4 linked regions of the Danio rerio genome follow. The protein of the gene in region 4 binds, or shares a complex with, the protein of the main gene of each other region. Links are inferred from orthologs where the notes say so. Each region holds a gene or a part of one and is shown on either strand. Other genes may lie near its edges.

What was found.
Region 1: the proteins of ints1 (region 4) and ints2 are in contact, whole or in part, in a cryo-EM structure (PDB 8RC4), measured with the Homo sapiens proteins. The link is inferred for Danio rerio from reciprocal best matches to the Homo sapiens genes INTS1 and INTS2. Residues at the interface, in NP_001073922.2 of Homo sapiens: Gly561, Ile562, Ala563, Trp564, Asp565, Lys566, Gly567, Ser982, His1055, Met1056, Thr1058, Pro1060, Glu1095, Arg1096, Thr1098, Ile1099, His1102, Leu1107, Arg1225, Ser1250, Phe1251, Gly1252, Ile1253, Tyr1285, His1288, Glu1291, Val1292, Gln1293, Glu1295, Arg1296; in NP_065799.2 of Homo sapiens: Pro40, Leu54, Lys69, Leu72, Arg73, Leu75, Ser76, Gly77, Val78, Glu79, Val81, Asn82, Val85, Gly125, Thr127, Leu128, Glu131, His132, Glu166, Val172, Tyr173, Glu176, Arg322, Gln325, Gln326, Arg329, Gly400, Lys402, Thr769, Met772.
Region 2: the proteins of ints1 (region 4) and ints7 are in contact, whole or in part, in a cryo-EM structure (PDB 8RC4), measured with the Homo sapiens proteins. The link is inferred for Danio rerio from reciprocal best matches to the Homo sapiens genes INTS1 and INTS7. Residues at the interface, in NP_001073922.2 of Homo sapiens: Leu1378, Gln1381, Gln1382, Gly1385, Gln1386, Ala1389, His1429, Phe1430, Leu1431, Cys1433, Pro1434, Arg1437, Gln1438, Cys1440, Gln1441, Pro1476, Ala1479, Gln1480, Met1483, Leu1484, Gln1487, Arg1552, Pro1554, His1555, Leu1556, Glu1557, Glu1558, Pro1613, Ser1614, Gly1616; in NP_056249.1 of Homo sapiens: His150, Asp151, Leu187, Ala188, Thr189, Pro190, Val191, Lys194, Thr223, Ser224, Tyr225, Pro226, Ser227, Thr228, Asn262, Asp263, Pro264, Arg265, Lys266, Pro303, Tyr304, Gln349, Glu350, Cys352, Tyr353, His354, Asn355, Arg357, Ala360, Gln384.
Region 3: ints1 (region 4) and ints12 share a complex: the UniProt entries of both Homo sapiens proteins name them as parts of the integrator complex. The link is inferred for Danio rerio from reciprocal best matches to the Homo sapiens genes INTS1 and INTS12.

What each region holds. Positions count from the first base shown.
Region 1 is NC_133185.1:32,946,125-32,951,363, reverse strand, and holds the start of ints2 (integrator complex subunit 2), read left to right. Parts: upstream 1-1,793; 5' UTR 1,794-2,171; intron 2,172-3,319; 5' UTR 3,320-3,323; coding exon 3,324-3,616; intron 3,617-3,773; coding exon 3,774-3,912; intron 3,913-5,217; coding exon 5,218-5,239. UniProt on the Homo sapiens protein: Component of the integrator complex, a multiprotein complex that terminates RNA polymerase II (Pol II) transcription in the promoter-proximal region of genes.
Region 2 is NC_133195.1:14,373,481-14,378,681, forward strand, and holds the start of ints7 (integrator complex subunit 7), read right to left. Parts: upstream 3,148-5,201; 5' UTR 3,050-3,147; coding exon 2,956-3,049; intron 1,227-2,955; coding exon 1,097-1,226; intron 1-1,096. Other genes in the region: dtl (denticleless protein homolog), read left to right, coding at 4,488-4,542, 4,619-4,744, 4,842-4,934. UniProt on the Homo sapiens protein: Component of the integrator complex, a multiprotein complex that terminates RNA polymerase II (Pol II) transcription in the promoter-proximal region of genes.
Region 3 is NC_133176.1:28,085,083-28,089,237, forward strand, and holds the end of ints12 (integrator complex subunit 12), read right to left. Parts: intron 1,687-4,155; coding exon 1,545-1,686; coding exon of another isoform or gene 1,368-1,544; coding exon 1,063-1,367; 3' UTR 859-1,062; downstream 1-858. UniProt on the Homo sapiens protein: Component of the integrator complex, a multiprotein complex that terminates RNA polymerase II (Pol II) transcription in the promoter-proximal region of genes.
Region 4 is NC_133178.1:42,059,700-42,064,420, reverse strand, and holds part of ints1 (integrator complex subunit 1), read right to left. Parts: intron 1,556-4,721; coding exon 1,376-1,555; intron 827-1,375; coding exon 677-826; intron 596-676; coding exon 416-595; intron 319-415; coding exon 214-318; intron 1-213. UniProt on the Homo sapiens protein: Component of the integrator complex, a multiprotein complex that terminates RNA polymerase II (Pol II) transcription in the promoter-proximal region of genes.

The sequences.
Region 1 (5,239 bases), on a different chromosome or scaffold from region 4:
TGACTGCTGGTGTTCGACATCCCAGGTTCAACGGATGCTACAAGCAATGGTAGCGCGCGGTTCCTCGGTTAGCACGGATTCGGCCAGTTCTTTAATCAACGTGTATGGAGGAGTTATCTGTATAGAATCTGATGGAAAGGGACTTTTGATGCTCTTTGAAATGAGAATGAATTCTTGGTTTTAAGACCTCTAATTCCCTGTTTCTTTTGGATGGGATTATATCCAAATGAAATGCCTGCATCTGTCTTATTTATTGTAAGTTTTTAAATGTATAATTTGTCTGATTTCTTAACCTCTTTTATATATAAAAGTTCTAGAAGGTTTGTATCGCCTTCCTGCTTTAAAGCAATTGGTCAAAAATATATGTAATCGTCTTAATTACAAAAACGAACCATCAAACGGAAAAAAACCCACTAAAAAGATGAATAAAATAAAGTTGCGGTAGGTTGCTTTTAGAGTATTATTTTTTGTAAGGGAGACACAGATTATTTGTATTGTCACGATGTACAGAGGAGACTGGATAGGGGGTTTCAGTCCGCGCCTTTGCGCGTGGACAAAATTACAGCTAAGCTTTAGCTGCACGGGACTTGTACAGCAATGAAGTTCACTGTGTTTAAAAATAAAGAGGTACATTGTCGTATATTGTATTTTATACCACACATTTAGACACAAAAACGAAAAACTGCAATATATAAATAATTATATATGAATGCCGCACCAGCATTGGGTGGCACTGCTTCTGTTTTAGGAATAAAAAGAGTCAACTTCATGTTTTTCCTGTGTTTTTTGGGTGGGGATGTTGGGATGTTTCATGAAGGCATAAAAACACCTAAAAATTTGCTTCAGCTTTCGCATCCACCCCATTGGCTCCTCCTTTTTGCACCAATTTCGAGTGATAATGGACACTTTTAGACAAGAACCAGTTTTCTTTGAGAGTGACAGAAATGTGGTGTAAACGGACTTTGATGAACGATCTGGGTGGCTGTTGGAAATGCAGTGTTTGTGCACAGAGAAAGATCAATTTCCTCTATCTTACTCTGTTCAGAATAAACTGTATGCTGATATTCAAAGACCCTGGGATTTCTCTTACTTCCCACACCAAATCTACATGCTTTCCAAATGCAAAAGTCTGATAAACAGCTTTAGGGTCAAGCACGCCAAGGCCAGACCTCACTGCATTTGTGAGGTATTCACATGAAAATCTATTTAGGGTAGGAGTATATACCAGGGGAAATGTTCATAATCATAATATGCATTATAAATGGCAATATACTCAAGTTTAACACAGATTTCGCAGATAACCACTCTAAAATGATTTGTAGGTTAATTTGCTTAATAACAATCGCATTTAGCTTTATGGACATTTTTATCTAGCCTCATGTTTGATATGGTATTGCTATGAATACATGGTTTAAACTAGATATAATGACATCTATAAAATCACAACACATACTACATTTAGATTATATATAGATTGCATTTAGACTCACTTAAAATATGAATCAAACAATTAAATGAAAATGACTTCTTGAACCTAGAACTTGGGTAACGTAATAGTTGAATAGGATAAAGCGTTCACAGAAACTGACTCCCATTAACGCTTAAATAAGTCTTTACTCTCCGTTATATACATAACGTTATATAAGTAACTTTTTGTGATTTGTATGTTATTTCCATTTTCACTTGACATGTAAATTCTTTACCTTTGCTTCAAACGTGCCACTTATTGGTGTTTTTTCATAATTTGAGGAAGAACACGGCTGTGGTGTTCGGACAATGGTGCTTCTAGGTAGGCGGCACACTAGGATTTGAGACGCAGCCAGAGTTCAGCATGCTCACAGCGGAGCAGATGATCGCTTGTGCTAAAATCATTACTTTTTCTACTTTATAGCTTGCTAAGCACTCTGGCCGACACATGTGGGTTTAATATAGAGTAAGTGGATTGTATTAAGCATATAATTATTTTAAATATATTGCTTCATTTAGTTAAATCGGGATGAATGGATCTCTTAAGCAGGATAGCTTTAGCAGCTAGCATGTTAGCTTACCGGTGAGCTGTCCTATTTCGACCGAAGAAGATCAACTTCCTTTTCAGAGAGAATCACGACAGACCGCGGTCTTACAGGCCTCAGCGGGTTTCTTTTGTAACCAGCGGCGCTGTTGAAGTCTAGGTAAGGATAATTGTGGTTTGTTCATTATATAAAATGCATTATTTGCTTTCAATGATGTTAAATAAAGTCGCAAGCCGAAAAGTTTGTTATATTAAGCATAAGTTTCTGCTTAACGTTAGCTGTGTTGTGAATCTGAGGGCAGTTCCCACAGTTAGCATTAAAAGTGTTTTAAATATTAATTTCAACACATTTAAAGCAATAAATATTAAAATAATAATCAGAAAATAATGTTTTAAAAGCAAAAGAAAATTCAGCGCACTCTTATAAAGCAGTACTGTTTTATTCAAACACTATATTATTCACAACCGACTAACTGTATGCTTAAATGTCATTGCATTACTGTCATACATGTACACAACGTGATTTTTGTCATGTTAAGTCAAAAATGCATTGCGATATTTTTGCCAACTTAATGACAGTTCTTTAGAACTTCATAATTCACCAGAAATACTAAACAGAATGTATTAATGTTCACACAAAAGAATATTAAACAACAATTTGATCAATGTTGTTTTTTTAAACACCAAGTCAGGGTTGTCATCATAAATAAATATTACAAATAAATCCGTTATTTGAAATCATTATATTACTATTACCTCACGCAATTCAGTTTTTAAATTCCTCCTCCCCCTGTAGCAGTTGATGGCTAGTAGACTGGATGTTTATTTAGAGTAAGGGAACCATGTTTTTAAATGATTTATTTCTAAATATGCCAAATGTGAAATGGGGACAAATAAAGTAAACTAACTTATTAATAACTTAATAATTCATCAGAAATCCTAAACAAAATGTATTATTGTTCACACAAAAAAATTAATAAGCAACAATTTTAGCAATGATGATGAATATTTTTTGAACACATCAGCAAGTTTAAAATGGCTGTCATCATGAAAAATATTAAAAATAAAATTGTTATTTTAAATCATGAAAAGTTTTTTTAATATCAAATTAATTTGCATAGATTTTTGATCTTCCTCAAATTAAAATTATCTCGTTTCCCAACACTGAACAAGAAAATTATAGCATTTGCAAGAAAACACTGTTGTCATTTATTATTTTCATTTTATAATGATACCAGTAGCTTATTTTAGTACAAAAAATCAGCAAAAATGCTTACTGTTTCCTTTCCCTGTCCTTTCACTTTGCAGAAGAATGACAGACAGTGCCAGTCTTCAGTTTGTGAGCCCGTATGCATTCGAGGCCATGCAGAAGGTGGATGTAGCCCGACTGGCAGCTTTAAGTGACCCAGAGCTGCGTCTCCTTCTGCCCTGTCTGGTCAGGATGGCTCTCTGTGCCCCTGCAGATCAGAGCAATGCCTGGGCACAGGATAAGAAGCTCATCCTGCGGCTGCTGTCAGGGGTGGAGGCGGTGAACTCCATTGTTGCTCTGCTGTCTGTGGATTTCCATGCTTTGGAGCAGGATGCTAGAAAAGAGCAGCAGCTAAGGTGGGTCTGGATGAAAGAAAGTACTTTCATGTGGTCATTCCGTAGGTTCAGCTCATCCGTACATTAAATGAGAGCTTTGTCTGGCTCAGAGAGGAGGATGTTCTGATTGAGACAATCTTGATTATTTGATGATTTAAGCATGTTTTCTTTTACACAGGCATAAGGCTGGAGGATCTAATGGCGAGAGCATTCTGGTGTCTCAGCTTCAGCATGGTTTGACTCTGGAGTTTGAGCACAGTGATCCTCTCAGGAGACTCAGACTGGCTCTAAGTGAGCTGCTGGCCATTATGAACAAGGTTCAGTGTCCTTTTATTTACTACTGCATAGGGATGCTCATTCGGGTAATTTTCCCAACCGGCGCTCATTAATCGGATATTAATCGTTAACTGGGCAGATTAGGATGAACTTATTATTTAAATACAAAAATGAATTGAGGTGTCTATTTTGGATCTGACACATTAAATATTGCATTTTGAAAAGCTGATTTATTTTAACGTGCAAACAACAGCATACAGAACATATTAACAACAGAACATCTTCAAGCAGTAGTGTTTTTAACAGCATAGAAAAAAGAATTACTGAATAAAAAAGAATAAAATAAATAGGCCTGCCCTAGATTTAACAACTCGTATGTCAAACTGTGACCATCAATATCCTTCATTCATATTCTCCTTTCATTTAGTTTTTTTGACAAAATAGGCTATGTCTGTAATTGCCACCCCGTGAGTTAACAAATATGTGTTGTACATTTATGCAGCTTAAAAAACTTACAGTATAAAAAATACAGTATAAAAAAAAAATATATATATATATATATATATATATATATATATATATATATATATATATATATATATATATATATATATATATATATATATATATATATATATTATTTTTTTGCATCCTTTTGGTTAATCTGCTTATCCAAGCATCCCTATTTTTGCGTAATGATCTTAACTTATTAAAATACATTTTAATAAGTCTTTTGCATTTTAAAATGGCTGCATTTTTAGTGTTAAAATATTTGTTTTTATACTAAAGATTGTATTCTTTATTTTAAAAATATTATGATACAATAAACTGACATAAAAATTTAAATTTGAAAAGTTTAGTGCAAATACACGCTATATTTCATTCTCTAAAAGAAAAAAAATTGTACTAAAAACAATATTAAGCACCAATTCCAAATGTGATGTTTGCATTACAGGATTGAATAGCTTTTTATAGTCATATTAAAATAAAGAGTTGCTATTTTAAATAATCTAAAGTTTTATTGCAGTATTTTGTGTTTGTCACAATATTTTTGTTTTGTAAATTTTTTGATCAAACAAATGTAGTCATGTTGTAATTGTAAAATAATTTTTCTTAGAGTTTTTTATTGTGTGCGTGTGTGTGTGTGTGTGTGTGTGTGTGTGTGTGTGTGTGTGTGTGTGTGTGTGTGTGTGTGTGTGTGTGTGTGTGTGTGTGTGTGTGTGTGTGTGTGTGTGTGTGTGTGTGTGTGTGTGTGTGTGTGTGTGTGTGTGTGTGTGTGTGTGTGTGTGTGTGTGTGTGTGTGTGTGTGTGTGTGTGTGTGTGTGTTATGTTCCTGTGTTGAACAGGTGGCTGACTCTAATGGAGAGT
Region 2 (5,201 bases), on a different chromosome or scaffold from region 4:
ATTATGACTAGTCAAAATATAATTAGAGATATCTCTAAATATATTTATGAATAGTCAGATCAAAGGTTTAAATGCTAAAACGGCTTGCCATACGCGCGCGTCTATCATAGTCCGCCCTCTGTAGTAACAGCTCACGTCATGTGTGATTTTGCGGCCGCCAATACATCATTATATGAAGACAGAATGATATTTTAGGGTGAATTGTACCTTATAAATACAGTATGTGACTCTTTCAACACCATTAGGAGGTATCCATGTCGCTGTGCAAAGTATGTAAATCACTGTGAAGACTTTAAAACTTAGGATGTTTGACCCAGTATGCGTGTCAAAAAGCGGACGAGTCTAAAGCAATGACTGTACAACCGAAATGTTGCCAGACGTCTGATTTTGAGAGGATGGGCCATCCTCTATATCAGCTCCACTCATCTTGGTCTGCTAACATTACTGCTGCTGCAATCTGAACTCACGTGCGACAGCAGGTGGAACGTAGCTCACGTGCAAACAGCTCAACTAATAAGAGAAAACGGACGTCATATCGTAATCAAATCGTCATAACACCACGATGCATAGAGACATTTTTGCATTGCAATAAATCGTACAACGATAAATCGTTACATCCCTAATCACGATATATTTTGGTAATTTTCCCCCTAAATAAAATTTAGCCAGATCCGCACAACATACCTCTAAATAAATAAGGGTGCTGACGTATGTAGCCTACCTATATTTAGCAACCCTATTTAATAGAGCGGCATAACAGTGCTAGTCACATGGTTGCTTTCACTTTTATGAACATGAAAAAAACTAGTTTCGGCTATTATTTAAATTTAATTGAACAAAGGGAGCTGTTTACATTGCGTTAACCAAGGCAACTACTGATGCGGTTTGTGTAATGTTTTTAAAGAGCTTTGTCGCAGCAGGACAGTGGAAAATGAAACCGTATCCGTCCTGTCTGGCCTGGTTTGGCACGGAATGGAACGGTTCTGCTTAAAGAACGATTCAGCACGATAGTGGAAAAGCAGCTATTGACAATTTTGTTACCATATCTAAACTATTAAACATGACATAATTCGTATGTATTTATATGTGCAATTACCCAAGTCTGAAGATATCTGCCAGCTTCAGGAAGGCAGAGTTGATGAGGATGGGGAACGGGTATTTCTGGAAGAGTTTGGGAAAAAGGACCACGGCTTCACACTGCTCGCCCAGTTTACAAGACCGTAAACCTGGAGCAAAGACAAAATCAGAAGTGTGTGAGTAAAAGGAATGATTCACGCTCAAATATGTATGTTTTTTATTCATACTCTGTAAAAATGTTGGGTTCCACAATAGCATGAATGGATTAAGTTATATTATTAGATTTTACAAATTTTAGTTGATTGAATCTAAAACAACTAAGTGTTCCCAAAATAAAACTTAACAATTGTGTTGTTTCTGTTAATTTTAAATAAATGAACAAACAGCATACATTTGTCAAGTTACTCTATAACGATGGTTTGTTTTGTAGACTATCGGAAAAATATATAGCTTAAAGGGCCTAGTAATTTTTACCTTAAAATGTTTCTTAAAAATATAAAAACTGCTTTTATTCTTACTGAAATAAAACAAATAAGACTTTCTCAAAAAGAAAAAAATATATTATCAGACATACTGTGAAAGTTTTCTTGCTCTGTTAAACACTATTCTGGAAAAAAAAAAATAACAATTCAAATGGGGGCTATTAATGCTGACTTCAACTGTATTGCTTTTTTAGTGTCACATCCTTTGTTTGTTTTCTAAACCCATTTCAGTTTTATTACTCTGTCGAACACTAAAGAAGATATTTTAAAACCTGAACCACACTGTTCCAGTTACTATGACCATTTATGTGAAGCTGCTTTGACACAATGTACATTGTAAAAGCGCTATACAAATAAAGCTGAATTGAATTGAATTGAATATTTTGAAAAAAGCTGTAAACCTGTAACTATTGACCTACATTTGTTGTCCTACTGTGGAAGTCAAAGGTTACTGATTTTGAACATTGTTCAAAGTATCTTCTTTTGTGTTTGCAGCATGCTTTTTTATATAATTTAAGCACTTTTCAGATGCACATTTTTTGAATGCATGTGTATGTAAATGTGTGGCATATTACACATTTACATACACACACATGCTTTATTACATTTTATCAGATTCTATTCATAAGATTTTTTTTTATATGAATGTCATTTACTTAAATCTTAGATGTATCTAATTTCATCTTATACTCAAGGAGTGCAGACAAAATAAGATAGAAGGCAGATCATGCTACAGGCTTATGTACAGACCCCAGATTTTCATTTTATGCACAAGCAATGAGAGTTATTATACTTTTATTTAAACAGTAATTTTCACTGTTATTACCCGTTTAATAAGACAGGTAAAGTTGGTTTTATATTCGTACATTTGTTCATTGACAACTTGTGACACGCTCCCTATAGCGTTTACCATGGTACTTTGAATATTCAGTATAAAATCACATGTAAGTGTGACTTCAAAACAACATAAGCACAATTTTTTGACTGTAAACAATGTTGTACGTTCAGTAAGATCAATGATTATGAAAGCAATGCAATTACTTTCCAAGCACTTCATCCATAATCTAAGCACTTTTTAGACCTTAGTAGTTTAAAATTAAAGCATTTTATCACCCGTGTGGCGTGTGCAAAGAAGAAGAAACTCATAAAAGTCAAACTACTTGACGGTTGCGTAAATTCTGGATCTTTCCATAACATATGTTACATCCCTAAAACATTCTGTAAAAATGAAAACAAAGCACAGTATAGACTAAAGTACAGTAGTAGCCTACATAATAAAATTATAGAAGAGCTTTTTCATGCGAACAGATACAATGTATGATATTCAACATTAAAATAGCACACACACACACTGCATCAAAAAACAAATACACGTGTGTTGTTTATAAAGAGCCACCTTTATCGAGCTCCATCAGCGCTGAATTGGCGTCCAGCTCCTGCTCGCCGTATGCCGCCTCCGAAAGAAACGAACGCGCTGCTGAAAGCGACATTGTTTATTATTAGACTGCAAAAAATGTAACCCGATAGACTGCTCTCGGATTTAACACTTTATTTGTTTTATCAGATGGAGATTTTGTGCATTAAGTTTGAAGTGTGACCCGGTTGTAAAGCAGGTCACGTGACGCACAACGCCAGTTTCGTCGTCGGGTTTCCGTTGCGCTACAAGGAACGCTAGAAGCGAAAGCGACCCAAAGAGGTGACCAAAGAAGGCGGGGCTTATGAGTCGGCATTTACCCTGATTAGTCTAAACCTCTGCTCAGCTTTTAGGCTCTTCATGCTATCATAATTTTTATTTAATCATTTGCAAAATTATATATATATATATATATATATATATATATATATATATATATATATATATATATATATATATATATATATATATATATATATATATATATATATATATATATATATATATATATATATATATATATATATATATATATATATATATATATATATTATTGCTTGCTATCAGAACAAAATCCAAAGGATCCCAGAGATCACTTTAAAATGATCAATAGTATACACAGTCATAAAAATTATCACAAACACATACAAATAACATATCATTAGACTGAAAGGGAAAATATTAATAATTATAATATTAATAATAATAAAATTATGATAATAACAAAATTACTAAATTAAACAAACTAAATTAAACAAATGAATGAAATTACAATGACACTTAAACAAATAACCAAAAGGAAAGCAACTAAACTTAAGCATCTCCTACATCTGTATAATATTTCAGGAATTTTAGGGTTTTTTATTCTTAATAAGATTAAGTTTTTGTGTTTCTGTGGCGTTTACATGTTCTTCCAGTGTTTGCGTGGGTTAAAAAAATATATGCTGTAGGTGAACTGGGTAGGCTAAATTTTGTGTGTGTGTGTGTGTGTGTGTGTGTGTGTGTGTGTGTGTGTGTGTGTGTGTGTGTGTGTGTGTGTGTGTTTGTGTGTGTGTGTGAATGAGTGTGTATGGATGTTTACCACTTATGGGTTGCAGCTGGAAGGGCATCCGCTGCGTAAAACCATATTCCGCAGTGGCAACTCCAAAACAATAAAGGTACTAAGCCAAAAAGGAAATAAATGAAATAATGAATATATATATATATATATATATATATATATATATATATATATATATATATATATATATATATATATATATATATATATATATATATATATATATATATATATTGTTAATGTTAATGTTAACCCGGATTTTTTTGGGGCCACATGGCGCCTCTAGTGTTCGCAGCCATTCCACTCCGCTCGCAGTGGCTTAACACTTCCTGTTTCCTGACGTGTCGACCAATTAGAACACTGTTCGTCCATCTCGCGGGGAATTCGTCTTCAGCGCTTTTTCATTGTTCGCGGGAAACTTACCACTTCTGAACGCGACTTGCATCCTGCAGCGATGACTCTTTTTCACCATGTTGTTGATCGAGGGGCTAAAAAAAGAGGACGAAATGGTGAGTTTGCTGAATATACGTTAACCTAAACCAGCGTTATTACACTATTTACACTGAAATACTTTGTAATAATCAGGTGAGCAGCGGCTGTTTCCTCTGTCGTCTCTGCTGGACGGCTATGAATGCGCTCGGCGGGATGAACACATCTCTTATGGAGCCTCCGCTGCTGCCGTGCCGCCATTCGGATGCACATTTTCCTCCGGTAAACATTTATTTCTGCATTCACAATGAGTTCGAAGTCAGTAGTACAGAATTGTGCAAAGACATTATGTTTGTGCTGGTTTGTTTTCTATGTTTAGCTCATGGACAACAAAACTGTCTTGCTGTAGCCAACGAAGAAGGGTTTGTGACCATCTTCAACACTGGAGAAAAACAAAGCTCTGTTCTGAAAGGTTGGCTTCAAGTTTACCTGGAAATATTTTAAAGGTTTAAACTAGTTCGCTTTTGGAAAACCCTATTTCCTATTGGCGTCAAATATAAAATGGGTTGACCGAAATCTCAACAAAAAGTGCAATAAAGCTTTGTGTTTCCCCTGTTAGGAAAATAAAATAGAAAAACATTTTTTTTTGTCATACTGTCATAATTTTTTAAAATCTTGTTTCGGAAATGTCATTCATTGTAACCACACCAAAAAAGTTAATAACTATTTCTTAGCCACA
Region 3 (4,155 bases), on a different chromosome or scaffold from region 4:
GCAAATAAATAATTAAACATTAAAAGAACCAAAGCAATAAAAAAAGGTCACCCAAAAATTGAAATTCTGTTATGATTGTTGCAACCCACTGAGACCTGTTCGTTTTGGACCACAAATAAATATATTTTATGAAATTCAAGAGCAAGTCCAGAAAAGAAATAATAAATAATTTGCAAAAATATTTGCAAAACTATCCCAGGGTTTCTGCAGGTTTCACAAAGTAAATTTAAAGATTTTTTAAGACCATAATGAATGAAGTTACAGACTCATACATGAGTTTTTTTCTAATAGCCCAGTTGGTCCAGCGCTAAAAACTAGGTCATTGTCCTCACCATATGGGCTATAAATACACAGAGATCCTTTAAACAAACATTACTGTAGGGATGAAAATTAAACCATACTGGCAAATAGAGTTATATTAAGTTTTGTTAAAAGTGATTAGTTAGCTTTACATGGACATAGGAAAATTAAGACATGGTCAAAATTGAGACCTAAATTCCAGGTGACTATAGCGGTAAAACAGTAATCATACGAAACTCCAAATATATTTCTTTTCTCCCAAAAAAAAAAAAAAAAAGAAAAGAAAAAAAATGGCTGTTTGTCTATTTCTTTGACATCAGGTCAGGGTGTGTGCTAACTACGAGCATTACGATGCTGTGTGTTGCGCCTCTGACTCTAACAGCAACACGTCGTCCTACCCTACCCTTAGCAAACATGCATTCTGACAAGAAGAGAAACTTTTTTTAAATTTACATATTTCATTAGCTAGTTTTATTAAAATAAAGCTGTATTTAAGTTGGATGTTTAAAGCCTAATTTAATCTCTGACCTGTATTCAAAAAAAAAAAAAAAACAAGAATTTCTTTTTTAAAAAAGGTGTTATTTATTCAACACATCATTAAAAGGAGCAGCTTGTTTTCAGTAATGTGGCTGGTTTAGAAAGAAAGAGACACATTTCCAAACCAAAGCGCTTCAGAACGACCAGTAACATTTAAATTCAAGTATGCGATCTGAAAACAGGATTTGACGTGCTCTTTATCGTGACATTCTGCCTACTTCCTCCTCATTTCTTCAGTTTTTTCTGTGCCGCTTTCTTCTTCACCATCTGCAGGCGTTTCATAGCATTGAGCTGAGACTCTTGGGAAGTGGGTGCCTTGCCATCAGCTGAGGCTTTTGCTCCGTTGTTGTTGTTGTTGCCACTGCTGCTGCTACTCCCAGCACTATTGCCACCGTTGCCCGCTCCATTGCCTCCTGACCCACCATTGCCACCCAGGCTGCTAGAAGGTGCAGCTCCAGGTGACAATGATCCCGTCACAGTCATTTTCCCCAAACTATCTCCACTCGCTGAGCGGCTCAACACCTGTTTACCTAGAGTAAGCGGAGGAGGTGCTTTTAAGGGTACTGTACCAGAGCCATTGTTTCCATTGCCACTTCCGGCACTGCTTCCTCCTGAAGGTTTAGTGGCCAGAGCTGGTTTAACATTGGCCAGAGCAGAGAGACCCACAGGTTTGGAGCCTGAGGCAGCTGGGGATGTTTTACTGTTACCTGATTGACTGGTGCTTAACTTGGTGCTGGAAGGTCCTACATTTGAGGTTGCCTTGGTGAAGGCGGCCCATCCTGTAAGACCCGGAGGCAAAGACGAGCTGCTGCTACTGCTGCTGGATGAGTTTCCTGATGCTGCAGTTGCCTGCACAGGGAAAAAAAGATTTTTAAATAAATAATAGAGATGTATTATAAGAAAAAAAGCAGCTTTTTAACATCAAGGGTTTGCACTCTGCAACTCTTATTAAATTGTGTACTTAAAGTCTTACAATGCACTCATGTCATGACACAAGTCATGCTAAAATACTACAATGATCTTTATCAGACATATGATCATAAGACAAATGATGAAAAGTGAACTAAAATCTACTGTTGATTTAAAATGTACATTTGTGGATTCAAAAAGTGTGGGAACTGTATGAAATGGAACAAATAACATAAGAACAGACTACAGTAGTCAACATTCAAAGTGAATTAAAAACGTTTTTCAAAATCGTCCTAGGACAGGAATGGGTGTTGTTCAATAGTTTTGAGACAACTTTGGTAAAAGGTGATGATCCACTTCAAATGTTGACTACTGTATATGCACAACTAGTGTTTTTCAGCCAATGATGAACTTCTAGTGGGAGCTTTATTTTTACTGTTTTTAATTTCATAAGGTTCCTTTTACAGTTTCAATGTTGTAATTTAATTCAAATATAATCAGTTAAATTGACTTCAGCATTCATTTGGTTGCTAAAGCGTAAAAAGAGACAAAAGAAAGTAATTAGCAGCAAGCTAGCACAGACACTCCATTGAAAATACAACCAGGGATTGAAGATCGCTGTTTTATTTTTTAAAGAAATCAGATCTTAAAGTGAATTTGTATGGGATGATAATAAGATATATGTTCATGTACTTTTAATTTCAGTCAGCCAGCACCAGGGCTTCCGATTAATTGTCATCCCATACAAAATCATAGCATTTAAGATCTGATTTCTTTAAATAAAAACAAAACAGCAAACCTCACCACCTGATTGAGATATGATATAAAGTGGGTGTCAGCCCAAGCAAGAAGCACTGCATTACATTTTTTTTCCCGTGCCATGTCTTTAAAACATGGAAATGTATTTTACCCCAGTATTCTTAATGGAGTGTCTGTGCTAGCTTGCTGCAAATGGCTCGTTTCCACTGACTGGTACAGTACGGTACGGTTCGGGTCAGTACGGGTCACCTTTATCAGGCTTGCGTTTTACTACCAAGGGTACCCTTTTGGTGGGCGTGGTGTATGACAAAGTTTCAGTCGACGTCATTTTCGCTCAAGAAAATGTCTACAATAAAGCTGCACAGGTCGTTCACATATCATTAAACAGATGCTTCTCATAAAACAGATGCTTTACACACAAAAATACTTGTGTATAAATGTTTATTACTAACTTTTCTATAAACAGGAGTTGATTATAACTGCAGATCAATGACAGTGCGAAATAGCCTACTATAACGTCTGTAATTATATTAAATAAATAAATAAATGAACATATATGAACACATACAGCCTCTTACAGTCTCCGATATGTTACCAACTACAGAAGAACTACACAAAGCAGACATTTCGTCGTTAGTTAGGTTCATAACAACACAAAGTATAGCCTAGTCAGTGAAAACCTCTCATCTGTGTCTGTAATCTTCAGCAGCACATGTAGCCTCTGTTAGAGAGTCATTCCATCATTCCCAGTTCATATTAGTCCAAAATGTAATAATAAAGATTTAAAACTAGGCAGTTTGTTCACGTTTGCTGAAGAAATAACGTGCTCCTTGGCTTCGCCGTTTTTTCCGCGCTCCACTCCCGCGTTTGTCCTTTTCTTTCTGAATGTGTCACTCTCGCGTTTGTCAGCTTCTCACAGGATCGGGTTTCCAAAGCTTGTCAATAATCAAGCGCATGTTATTATTATCAGCTAAAGAAGTTAGTTATTTCAGATAACGCGCGTCGAGCGCAAGGAAAAAAAGTGAAACCACTCAGGCTTCAGACTGGCTCGTAAAAAAACTACGCGGCACAGGGTAAATCTGCTCTTCTCCATGGCTTTGTGGCTGTTTAACAAGACGGCGACAGGGTTTGTTTGAGCCCGGATCGACTATGGCTGCATATGTAGATATAATTTTGTGTAATCTCTCGCTGTGTATTTTAAACATGGCAGGTCCTTTGTTTACATTCTGGCTTGTTGAGTCTACAAATGACGTATCTCTATTAACCAATAGCATTCAGCTGCGCATGTAGCTCCACCTTTTGGGACCCTTTCTGCAGTTTGTGACCCTTTCGAAAGGGTGCCGAAAAAGTGGTACGGTACGGTTTGGTTCGGTATGCCTTTTGACAGTGGAAATGGCCATAAAAGCGTACCAAAACGAACCGTACCGTACCACTCAGTGGAAACGGGCCATAACAGTGCCTGGGGTTTAAATGGTCTTTCGCCTGTTTTTACGCTTTTATAAAAATAAGTTTTAAAAAAATGTAAATTTGTGTAGACTTGGTGTTTTAGACATGAATAGACTTGAACTTGTTTCGGTTTGCCATTGCACAGGGCTAAAGCGACACCAAAATACTTTTTTGTTCAAACCTTAATATTGTTCATGTTTATAA
Region 4 (4,721 bases):
CGTATTTGCGTGTGCCAGTTAAAATACGGGCAGCTGCATTCTGAACAAGTTGCAGTCGAGAAATAAAACACAGTTGGGTTTGGTTGGTGCTAGTTGGTAGTGTTGGCTTGGTGTGTCCTGGCTCTAATTAAAAAAAAGAGTGTTCTAACACATCACACACAGAAGAAACTGAGCAAAATTCAAACCGATTAAAACCTGCAGATTTACACTAACCAAGGCTAGGTCATTGTGGAGGGACTGCTCTTCTATTGGTGCATGCTGGGAAAGGTAAATCAGGTATGCACTGATGGTTTGAGGATCCGTCTCCACGTGAATGGCCTGGAAAAAAAGGAAAACCATGCACACACTTTAAGTTCAGCAAGTCACAGGTACTGATAAACTTATATTTGTGTAGGATTTGTGTAGGTGGACTAACCTGCTGCAAAGCACTGGCCGTTAAGCCTCTCACGCTGTCAAACAGAGGCAGTTTAGGAAGGTCCTGAAGGAGCCACTGGTAGCTTGGCAGTAACTCTGCATCTCTGGAGTCCTCCTCCATGAGATGATCCCTGTCCTCTCCATCTTTCAATCCGCCCTCCGTCAGCACCAGGGACAATCCCTGATATGCACATCATAATTCACCATATCACACAAGTGTGTAAAGAACCATGCTTAGTTAGATGGAAAATGAACTCTGTACCTTTATGGCCAACACTCTTGAAGCCACTTGAGAAGAGCTTAGACGCCGGAGAAAGTAGTCCAAGACCTCACATGTGGTCTGTTTATCAGCCTTAGACCCCAGCAGAAGGTCCTGCAGCCGCCCAAGAAGCTGCCTCTGTTTTTGCTGCCGCTAACACAAACAAAAAAGCAAGAAAATTATTAATTTTTGTTTTTACAAAATACATGTTTTCAAAACTATGCAGCATATTTGTGTGCTTTCAACTTTCAGTAGTCAATACTTAAGACCTAAATGTCACGTGATCCTTCAGATGTCAATCAAATGTACATATTTGATGTTCAGGAAATATTTTCCATAATTATTATTATTTAAAGCAGTTGGGCAGATTAGAGATACAGTAAAAGTACAAGATTTAATTGAAATAATTCATTTGTAAATGTTATAAATTCCTTTATTTAGATCAATGTAATATGCCTTTGTTAAATAACAGTATTCCTTTAAAAAAAAGAGTATATAGTTGTATTAAACTATTGAGTAATTAGTTGGATTATTTTCTTTTAATATAGCATAATTGTTTGAACCACTCTATTACACCATACTGTAAACTACTATGGGTCATGTAAAATTAAACATTGGTTTAAGACACCACCATTGATATTGCAAGATGATAACAAAAAACAAAAACATTCAAACAATAACCAATGCCGTAATCATTTTTACCTGTCTTTTCTTTGCTCTCTGTTCTTTGCTTTCTCCTTCCTCTTCATCATCAGCAGAAGAGGCATCATCTGCTGCATCATGGAGGAGAAATTCACACAGGCACTGAACGGGCAGCACATCTAAGGAGCCTTCGCTGGACTGGACAAGATCAGCCAGCCACGGCATAGACTGAGAAGAAGCCTGAATAAAGGACAAACCTTCAATTAAGAGGATCTGCGATTACACAAGACCTTGAAAAGCCATAATCATAAAGCCATAATACAAAAGTCATAATATTACATCACACTTTACAGCCTAAAAAATAAAAAAAATGTTACATTTCAAATGGAAAACCCCATGTGGGTCCAATATGGGCAAAAGAAATTAATTACATACCCTTTGCCTATGTAAGTAATGAGCATTAAGTATCTGTCTATATAAAGACATCATATAAATAATGTATATAGACAGACATGGGAAATAGAGAGATGGGTATTTATACAACAATTCTGTCTGGTTCTCAAATCTAATTGGCTGATAACTGTGCGATATTCTGCAATATCAGAACTCCTACAGCCTCTTTACCCTTTGTGTATTACTCCGCCCACATACAGCCAGCAAAAAGCAGACACTACAGATCTAAAGCTTCAAAGATGCTTGCTCAACTGTTTAACTGTCAGCTTATGATATGAATCCAATGTGGAAGAAAGTAGTTCCACATACAAAAGGGTTTTTGAAACTATTCGTGTTTGATTTTGTTTTTATATATACAATTATGCCGTCAAACTGTTGTATAAACGCAATATCACACGACTCGGCCTGTGGCCTTGTGCCATCGAACGCCTCCCATGAGTGCCGATGTACAGCCATATCGCACTGCTACTCGTGTGATATTGCTCATATATATATATATATATAAGGGCTTGACATTAACTTTTTTGATCACCAGCCACTGTGGCTAGTAGTTTTTCAACATTACTAGCCACTTACCACTTTTACTAGCCACAATTTTGCTATAAGGAAAATGTATAATTATATGCATACATTTGATTTTGGCATGCCAAAGTTACGTACTTTACATTTTGTGTAATGTCCACATAAGTCCTCATTCATTTCACTTTTTGTGTGTTGTGTTTGACCTTGCTCAATGAGCATGAGCATATGGGTTATGGTTTCAGTCGCATTCAGATTAGTGTCGCATTGCAATTAGGTCTTGTTTCACAAGGCTTTTCAGGGCTAAACAGCAAGATTTACCTATTTTTTCTCTGGCCACACCAAAACAATAGTCTAACAGTCTCTAGTGGTCTTGAACACCTTAATTAGTTGGATCAGCTCTGTTTGATTAGGGTTGGAGCAAAACTGTGCGCGCGACACTAAAGCCCTTATCAGTCAGTGACAGGGCTGATAGCGGAAAAAATTCCTGAGCCTGAACTTTTTTTCCTTGCCCCTGAGGTGAGTAGGGGTGGGGGTACTATGTATGCAACGCACTTTTAACACATAACTTGTGGGCCCCTGGGCCCAAATATATTAACAGCCTATGTGTAACCCTGATCATCATTATTGTCAAGTGGCTCTTTTTAGACACATGCCAGTAATGTCAGTGACACATGCCAGTGTCAGTGATCTTGTGACATGTGCCAGTAGGTGTCAGTATAAGCACGTTATAAGCACATTAATCTTATAAGTCTCTTTGCTTTAATATTTAAAAATCATTAGGCAAATGACACCTGTTATCTTACATGCATATATGTTATGAGTTTTCAACATGCATTTTATTATAACTTTTTAAAGGATATTATTTAAAATACCTTAAAATGAAAATAAGTTAAATAATAAAATAAATGAATGAATTAAAAACATAGAAAAGTCCATATTGTAGGGAACAAAGGAACTGCCAGGGTGCAATAAACAGTACAACAGATAAGTGTAACCCCTCCCATACATAAGCATGCCACAATAAATTTGACTGACATGTACTGTCAAATGACTATATTATGTACGGAAGTACGACTACGAATACATAAAATAAATGCGTTTAAATTAAAACATCGTGGAGTAGCTCAGCAAATAAACTAACTTGCGACGCAATAAATTAGGTTAAAAGTCGCGTAATGATTAAATATGGTTTTGCTCGTGTTAATTAATGTCATAAGCTTCGCCGGGTGTCGATGTCACTGCAGTGACATGCAGCGCGACACTCTGAGTGACACAGGTCACTACACATGCCACTAGCGAGTGACACATGACAGTGGAAACCCGGACGTGCCACCAGTGGCGTAGCGCAAAATGCAGAGGCCCCCCTGCAGGGATCGCTGACGGGGCCCCCTGATGAAGGGGGGGGGGGATACGTCACACGTCAATTTGCATATCACTGGCGTCATCACGTTCTACCGTTTCTGTTTGTTTAACAGCCTATGGTTAATAAAGGGGTATTTATAATTGCACTACACTTTATATAAGCATGTTTATTTAACTAAATGTATTGCTGTTTGAATACAGTATGTCATTATAGATATGTAGTGAATGTGCAGTAATCTCTCATATGTAATAAACTCAGACAAGTTCAGAAACTGTCACTAAAATATCTGTGATTGTGAACAAGAAAAGAATAAACGGTCCAATTAAATTGTTAAAATAAAGTAGCAGTACATCGGTTTGACTGTACAAGGGAAATACCTTCACACTGCCTGTGCTAAATCATTTGTCGTCGGTACGCAGAGGGGTGATCTGCTCTCGGGCTGCAGGTGGGAGAGGCTGCTGTATGAGGACTGACTGGGCCGCCTGTCAGTGCTGTGAGGCGAGGGAGGGGCCGGCGGCATCACACGCAGCTCGTTGAGAAGAGTAGGGACGGTACAGTATGGACAAATGACAGTCTAAAAAAATCTCCAATAACACAAAAAAAAGTCGCTAGATTTGTCGCTAAGGGGGTCTGAAAAGTCGCTAAATCTAGTGACAAAGTCGCTAAGTTGGCAACATTGGCGGCAAGCAATCAGAATGAAGTAGTCCACCGCTTGAGAGGTGTTCAGAGAACACAGACCTGTGAACTTTGGTTCCGACCACAGTTGTTCCCAAGAGTTTGATTATTGCGTTCGCCGGTGGATTTTTAATTATTGAAAATCACGACGACGCGGGGCCCCCTAATCACGCGGGGCCCCCCCGCGGTGCGTGCCCTGCGGGCCCGTCCGCTACGCCACTGCGTGCCACCGGAAGTGTCACTACACTCAGTGGCATGTGCCAGTGTCATCTGTACGTCAGATGTGGTGTCACTCCATGTTAAAACTGCTACTGTGAATCCGCGTTCAAGCGCACACAATAAGCTAAAACTCGCCCCAAGCACCGGCAAAAACAAATAACAATGAATGTGTCG